Linked DNA regions of Oryzias latipes. The protein of the gene in region 1 purifies or fractionates together with the protein of each later gene. This does not show direct contact. Links are inferred from orthologs where the notes say so. Each region holds a gene or a part of one and is shown on either strand. Other genes may lie near its edges.

Region 1 (4,094 bases):
CCGTCCAATAGGCAGAGCATTTCGGATTATCCTCTGGCTGCCACGAGTGTATTCTATGTCCACTGTGATGGGTGCCGAGTAGGTCATGTCCCTGAGGCGACACTAAGGAAACAAAGCAAGAGCTTGAAAGTGTTAATGAGAAATCTATACATTGTTTTGTTTTTTTAATAAAGAAAAAATGATTTAATTCATAAAAATTTCACTTTCTTCAGTTTAAATCCTTTTTTATGTGAACATTGTTTTTCACTACAAAATAAAATTGGTTAGAAAATTGGAATAATGAATCCGCATGAAACAGAATCATAAACTAGTGAATCCAAATTAAAGTACTATGGCAGTACTGTGGGTGACAGTGGCTAAGGCGGTTGAGCAGGTTGTCCAATGATCTAAGAGTCGGCGGTTCAATCCCCGCTCCCCCCAGCCAACTGTCGTTGTGTCCTCCTTGCCTCCAGTGCAGCTCCACTGGTGAGTGAATGTGTATGAATGATCCCGGTGATGGTCAGAGGGGGCTGTAGGCCTCTGTCCGTCTGCCCCAGGGCAGCTGTGGCTACATCAGTAGCTTACCATCACCAAGTATAAATGAATAATGGACAAACTGTAAGCGCTTTGAGCGTCTGGAAAAACGCAGATAAATCCAATCAATTATTATTATAGTGATAATCTGCCATACAGTGAGCTTTTATTATTTTATTTTATAGGTTCTGAATGAATCTAAAATCAAACAAAAAGTATTGTTTTGATTTTTCTTGAGCCATTGAATGTGGCATAAATTATAAACTACTGAAATGTTATGAGCCAAAGATGCTTACATTTTTGTAATATTATCGTTTGTAACAGAGAAGATGTTGTGATTTACTCAAAGCTTTAGGGAAATTAAAGTGGAAGGTAAAATTGGACTTAAATAATCTTTTACTTTATTTCTACAAAGATAGACCACACAATTTTTTAAGCTTCTTCCTTAAATGGGATCATCTTGTATGTCTGGAAAACTGCACAAATATTGAGCCTATTATCTAATTTATTAAAATTCGGCCAACTGTTTCCAGAATTTCCTACTTATGGACCTTCTAATTGCTGCTGATGGCACCATTAATAGCTTCATGTTTATATTTTCAATCATTAATTCAAACCTGTAGTGTTTTAAATTTAAGACATTTTCAAAAACACAGAAGTGATTTTAGTTTCTAATTTAGACATAAAAATGTATTTATTTCCAAATTTCAATGCAGAAGGATATGGAGAGCATGTATTTAAGTCTTTAGGGCTGTTCAAAATTGCAAAATATTTATTTTCAATTGCATTAATCTAAGATAGGTATATTTAAAGAAAAAAATTATACAGAAATCGGCTGCCTTTCTCACCTCATGAGGAGAGACGGGTCTGGTAACGTTGAAGCTTTCTTCCACATCAGGCATGCCGACATAGATATTTAGATATCTGCAGGGGGTAAAAAATGTGTTGGATATTTGCTATCAGGAAGTTCGGTTTGAATTTCTGTCATTGAACCTACTTCAGGTACCACATGGGATCAGCATCACTGGTGATTTTCTCATTTGCTTTCATGATCTTCTTTATCTGAAAAGGAAGACGTTTGAACAGAAGTGCAAGGACAAACACAGCAAATGTGGCAAACGCTGATGCGGGGATAGAGCCTCACCTCCACATTGATGAAATAGTTGAAGGAGTCGATGTGCTGCTTCACCAAACCCTTCACCTGCAGAACACACAGAAGATCGAACGTAGGCAGAGACAAGAAGAAATACTGATGCTAAAGCATTCAAACAGCAGTCAACTATGCATATCAAAATAATGCTGTTTTTAAAAGATGTTAATGTTTTTCTATATGGTCTCAATTAAATTCTAACATTTTGGTCTGGTTTTACTGTTTAAAAACTTGACAAGGTTAAAACATTTCTGACATCACAAAAATATGAGACATTTGTGGGCCAACACCCTAAAACACCCTAAAATCTATGAAAAGCCGAGCTTTATGCAAACATTGGATATGGTTTTTTAAATTGTTTTTTTTTTACTTGAGATTACAAAAAGATTAAAATTTTATGGAGCCGATTCCCACATCTCAGTTTTAAAGACTCAGTCTATAAATATATGTGGTTTGTCATCTTCATAATAACAACAACAACAATAATAATATTTATTAAAGTAATAGGATGTTTTAAAAACAACGCAAAATGTTTGAATCTTAAACTATAAAAAGAGATCGGATCATGGACAGAACCCTTTTTTTTTAGGATTTCTGAAGTGCTTGCATTTGCATGATTATTGAAGTTCTCTGATTAATTTTAATTATTAGGGCTTTATAGTAGCATAAAAATGCTCAAAATGAATCAAAAAGACTTTCACATGTCCTCAGCCACCCAAACATTATTACCTTCAAAAAGGCTGGTAACAGCTTCCATTTATCCTGTCAATAAAGAAAAAGATGACAGAGAGAGACAGAGCAGAAATTATGAAGAACTAGCAATGAATGAATTAGTCATTTCCTATAGGAACATCATTTGAATTCATTAGAAGTTTATTTATGGCTCGTGAAACAGACTCGTAAGAAATAAGAACATCAACAAGAATCACAACTTTTACTTTGTTGATTCCACCATGAAACTAACACACGCGCACCACCTCACCGCATTGACTCGTCTCGAGGGGCCAAATTGTGTGTTGTTTTTACGCAAACTCACAGCCACGGTGTTGACAGGAGCCGCCAACTCCTGGGGAGTCATGTCTCCAAATTCTTCACCGAGGACCTCCATGGTTAACAATAGCTGGTTAACCTTTAACTCATAAATAAAACAGTCTTACACCGACTGCTGCTGGAAAACCAACGTTCCGTGTATCGCAGTAAAGCATCCGTACATTCGAGGAGGAACGAAAGAAAGGTTCCGCGTGTTTGTCTTTTTCTTTCACTCCCGGTGTTTTGCACTTTTGGGTGGGTACTGCTGCCCCCTAGTGTTGTGGAAGGGTCCCTGCCCGGCTCTGTCTGTTAGTTGCAGTAAGTGCAGAAAAAACGTAAAAGACATATTGAACAACAATTCAAATTGAATCACTGTTTTCATCAGATAGACAAAAAAGGAGATGAAATTACTCAGTCTGTTAGTTTGTGACCGTCAGCAAAGCACAGAGGAGCCGCGGAGTTATAGGCTCCTTTCAGCTATTAGGCTGTTTAACAAATCTGCCTGATATGAACTGCTTTTTTTATGAACTGTTATTTTATTGTTATTTATTGTGTGTGTTTTGCTGCCAGACACCTGAGTATCTCCCTTGGGAGATTAATAAAGTTCATTTTATCTATCTATGGGACATCCTGGGACATCCTCCTTCGTTAGTCAAGTTCTAGTTTCACCTCACTGTCAGTTTCTGTATTAAATTTATCAAATGTTCCAAGGGATTCATAAATATCATATTCATGGTATAATGTTCAGACTATTGTGCATGTGATGACTTACACAATGAAATGATGCTGACTCATTTTGGAGAGAACAACCATTAGACTGAGAATCAACAATCAGTTTAGATCAACAAGATCTATTCACTTGGAAATTGTGCTAAATGAAGGCTACCTGTACTTAATCAATTGCAAAGATGTACTGAGACATTGAGACAAGTACTAAGACATTTGCAATTTGATGAAACTAATGAGAAATTCCATTCTGCTGTGAACAATTGCAGAGTGGTTTGGAAGTTTGTCCATGTTGTTTTGAGAATGTAATTTCTGTTTCAAGAAATGAGCCAAACCAATGGAGAAAAACTGTAATAAGAATGGTTTTGCAATCATAGTTGCTCAATATTTTACAAGAAAAATTGTATGAAGTAATCCATGGAATGCGAGCCGCCTAGTGGGCCAGTTTTGGTAAGCAGAACTGGCGCTGCAGGATGAACCGACCTGCATGCATGTATGCATGCATGCATACATACATGCATACATACATACATACATACATACAGTTAGATATTAACTCTGTTTGTGATTGATATATTTAATTTAGTTTTGCTTTCATACAACCCTCTGCATTTATCCGGACTTGGGACCGGCACAAGAGAGTTGGATTGTGCTCCCCTGTGGTTGCATTACATTC
Region 2 (4,185 bases), on another chromosome or scaffold:
AATGTCCATTAGCCTGAAAAACAGCTTCCTGTGATAAATGTTAAAGAGCTTTTATTTGTTTATTTTCACCTGTTCTTTGTTGTTTTCCAAAGCAGGTAGAACTTCTTTCACCGTCCTCTCTACCAAAACCCCTCCAACCAGGCGATAGCATTTCCTAGAAGGGTCCACTTCCTTAAGAGTTTCAATAACTAAACTGAACACAAAAAGAAAAAAACATTAAAATTATTACTCTTTTACCACTTACCAGTTATGTGACGAGGTGAGTTACAAGATGTTTTTCTTTTTTAAGTTTAATGTATATAAAGTAAAAAGGTCAATTTAACTACAGACCAACATGATCCAATTAGCTGTCCTGCTAACAATCAAACATAAAAAGTGAGTATTATAAAAGCTCTCAGAGGAGAAGTCATCAGCTGCTAACCTGTGCTCATTGATGTCCATCTCCAGCTCTGCAGCTTTAGACGCCATGCTGCGTTGTTCCTGACGCATCCTCTGAAAGGTGGCAACCACCTGAAAACATCACCGCAAAGCTGGCATCAATGCAGACCAATGACATTTGACGCATCCGTCTGATCCCAACACAAGCATGTAAGCTGTTTCAGACTGAGGGGCTTTCAGGCTGAATAAACTTACCAAACCTTAAAAGGAAATTGTGACTTTAGAGAGTTTTTTTTTTTACCCAGTCCCTTTTGATCCAGTCCGCTTAATTTGTTCCGGACCGAGTTCCGAACCTTGCGTTAGGCCTTTATCAGACTGGCGTTAAGCGCCCCATTCTGTTAGCGACCAAAGCTTATAAACAAAACAATGTGACTAAAGATCTCTTCAGTCATTGGCCAGGAACTACGAGGGCAGATCAAAACAAGAGAAATGTGGACGTGTGCCGCTTAACAGTTAAATTATTAAAATTTTATATTTTTTTCGATTATCAGTTTTGAACGTCGGGAACAAGCCTTTTTATTTGTTACTTTGGTACGGCAAAGGCATGCTGCGAAGCGGTCAGTGGCAAGGAGACGTGCTGTGTGTGCTTTAACTCAGAGCATGCTAGTAACTGCATTGATGACGAGACGTCGGGTATGAGTAGGCTGCCACGCTCTCTCCTCTCTGAGGGGCAACCGCATGGTTGCGATAAAGAGCCCTGGAGTTTGGCCTGAATAGAGCCGTCACCACAAATATTAATCAAATCGGTGACTTCGCTTCCCTTCCACTGACTGGTCTCAGCAGCATCGTCCGCCATTGGTTGATGTTTATGTTCTTGTTCCCGCCTACTTCAACGAAAAATGATGATGTTTGCAGCGTATCAATGACGTACGGGTCGGATTCATGTGGCCTGGACGTTCAGACGGAGGTCGCATTTGAAATGATCGGATACATATCGGATTCAGGACCACATACGCAAGTGGCCTGGGTCGCATTTGAAAAGATCGGATCTGTGTCGTTCAGACTGTCATGAAAAGATCAGATACAGGTCGCATAGGGGCAAAAAACAATCAGAATTGTGTCATTTCAGCCTGCAGTGAGATACAATGTGTTTCCCATTAAAAATGATTTTAATTAGCCTGCATTCATCTGACCACATTTCAATGAGTTGCTGTGTCTCATCATTGTGGTTTTAGGGCATTGTTTTTAGAGAATTCTGTTAAGGAAACTATAATATAGCTTTTAGTCATGCCACAGGCGAATGCCGCGTAACAAGATACAGAAAAGCATGCAAGTAGCCTTTTCAGCAATGTTAAAATAAACGTTCTAACAAATAAACACTTGAACTCTTTTTTTCTGTTTGATAACACGATAATAATTGCTTATTTGTCCGCGGCTCATCTGTAGCCACATTCCTACTCTGTTTATGTCAGCTATGGTGGCCATTTAGGTTCAGTGGTATTCAGATTGAGGAATCTTAGAGCGAACCCGAGCTCAATCTGATTGGAAATTAACCAAGACCACCTGCAAAGATGGGTCAAGGTCCCAGACCTTAAAGTGAACTCTGGTTCAATTTAAGCAGACCAAATGCATAACCTTCTCCATGTTAATGATTTCAAATTGTTTTACTTTTTTTATATATAATGTATGTACCATTTTTTTTAGCTTTACTTTCTTTTTTCAATCAAGAGCAATTTATAACTTAGAATATGACTTCCTAATATGACTTAATTCACAGTATTCTTTGAACCTGTATGAAAATATTTAATTTTGACCCCAAAATTTTTTGAAGTTCATATGTATTTTTAATGTTATTTTTCAACAAACATCGAATAAAGATTAATACATTTCAACATTTGCCATTTTTATGCTAATTTGTTCCTATAGTGTGTCTACATGTTATTGTCTATCACTAAGACGTCGCTTTATACTAATAATTTGGCAACGTGTTGAAACAGTTTTTTTCTTATATGAAAGGCTTCCGTAGCCCTTGAGCTGTGCATAGTTGTTGACTGTCTGAGTAGTAAAAATAGCATCATCATGCTCTGTCAGACCCATTCTGAGGGCCACACCACCCACATACAGAATGGTGTACCTTTAGTTTATCTTTGACGTTATCCCATTCCATGATGTGCAAATAGCACAAATTGGACCTAATTTCATGCTCACAATTTCTTTCCCCTCGCATGGGTCTGACTGCAAGACACTTCTGTGGCCACGGGGAAGCTAACGTTAGCGCTGACTGGCTGTACGTCGGTTTAGTTACTTTCTGCTGAATATATACGAATAATATGTCACAATCTCAGGAGTACCGAGACAAAAGACTCCGCTACTCAATAGGATACCTGTTCGGCTGACTGCGCGGGCTGTTTTCCAGCCGCGCTGCTGCTCGATTTGCTGAACGTGCTGCTGTTGGCTGCCATCTTGATAGAGTGCACTTGAAGGACCCGACCCATGTGAAAGTTTTTTTTCACAGGCAGAGGCAGTCTCATGACTGCCTGTGTAAAAATACATCTCTAAATTCCTTTACCACTCACTACACAGTGCACTATACAGTGCGTTCGCAATTTTGTAATGCTGTCCGAATCTACAATTTCAAAATCCAGTTCCTAAGAAATTTCTCGGAAGTCTCTGCAAATTAACCAGTGTGCATCGACGCTCATTAAATTGGCCAACATAGATCAATGACAATGCATTGCGTTTTGAACATTTTTTGCGAAAACAATGTGTTGAAATGCTTTTTTTTAAACAATCAATATTTTTTTTATTTCAAGTACGCAATGAATTAATAAATAGTTGTTGTAAATTGCTTGTATTTACGACGGAGTATGTATTGATCAGATTTTCACTTCGTGAAATCGGTAACGTTATATTTCCCGTTTTAAAAAAAGAAAAAAAATAGTGAGGATGGTGTCCTAATTGCTTTTAAAACCCACGACACTATATCGTTTTTAGTAGTTGGTGATTAGGTTGGAAATTCGGACACAGCACTAAGATCAAATTGATCCTTTTTTTTAAAATGGGAAACAAGTTAAATTTCTATCTGCCCCCCACAACTGTAAGTAAGTAAGTAAGTAAGTAAGTAAGTAAGTAAGTAAGTAAGTAAGTAAGTAAGTAAGTAAGTAAGTAAGTAAGTAAGTAAATAAGTAAATAAGTAAATAAGTAAATAAGTAAATAAGTAAATAAGTAAGTAAGTAAGTAAGTAAGTGGGTAAGTTAGTAAGTAAGTAAGTAAGTAAGTAAAGGCTTATTTGATCAGCTAACAATTGATTTCTACCACGGGGTTTCACTAGATTGTGCATTGGCCAATTAGAAACTAAAATGCATTATTATTATTATTATTTTGCACATGTTTTACCATAAAATCCAAGTAGAGTACACAAGTGTAACATGTAAACATTTTCCCTCGAACAAATCAAAGGATAAAACAGTTTAACTTCTTTTAACAGAATAATCAGCCTGACATGCTACAATGACATAAAATTTAAAGAAAGAAAGGCATTTCTAATTTTAAAAAGTTTCTGCTAATTAGAAATGATCATTTCAAAAGCTTTGGGTAGTCTAACTGTTTTATTTATTTATTTTTTCATTTTCAGCTAAAATGTTCAACTTTTTCCTGTAGAGACCAAATGTATATCACTTCGCTGCATAACAATTTGACCCTATGTGATTGTTGCCACAGTGTGATAGCAAACAGCTTCTGGTATAATATTAACCAACCTTTTCTGTATGTATTTTTAAAAAAAGTCTTTCATTTAAAAATAAAATG

What was found.
Region 2: the proteins of polr3b (region 1) and pfdn2 purify together in Homo sapiens (affinity purification with mass spectrometry; 3 studies listed by BioGRID and IntAct, with this or other methods). This does not show direct contact. The link is inferred for Oryzias latipes from reciprocal best matches to the Homo sapiens genes POLR3B and PFDN2.

What each region holds. Positions count from the first base shown.
Region 1 is NC_019864.2:21,469,357-21,473,450, reverse strand, and holds the start of polr3b (DNA-directed RNA polymerase III subunit RPC2), read right to left. Parts: upstream 2,889-4,094; 5' UTR 2,772-2,888; coding exon 2,646-2,771; intron 2,426-2,645; coding exon 2,393-2,425; intron 1,715-2,392; coding exon 1,658-1,714; intron 1,576-1,657; coding exon 1,511-1,575; intron 1,438-1,510; coding exon 1,362-1,437; intron 103-1,361; coding exon 2-102; intron 1-1. UniProt on the Homo sapiens protein: Catalytic core component of RNA polymerase III (Pol III), a DNA-dependent RNA polymerase which synthesizes small non-coding RNAs using the four ribonucleoside triphosphates as substrates.
Region 2 is NC_019876.2:18,973,791-18,977,975, reverse strand, and holds the start of pfdn2 (prefoldin subunit 2), read right to left. Parts: upstream 2,885-4,185; 5' UTR 2,874-2,884; coding exon 2,763-2,873; intron 511-2,762; coding exon 422-510; intron 194-421; coding exon 70-193; intron 1-69. UniProt on the Homo sapiens protein: Binds specifically to cytosolic chaperonin (c-CPN) and transfers target proteins to it. Binds to nascent polypeptide chain and promotes folding in an environment in which there are many competing pathways for nonnative proteins.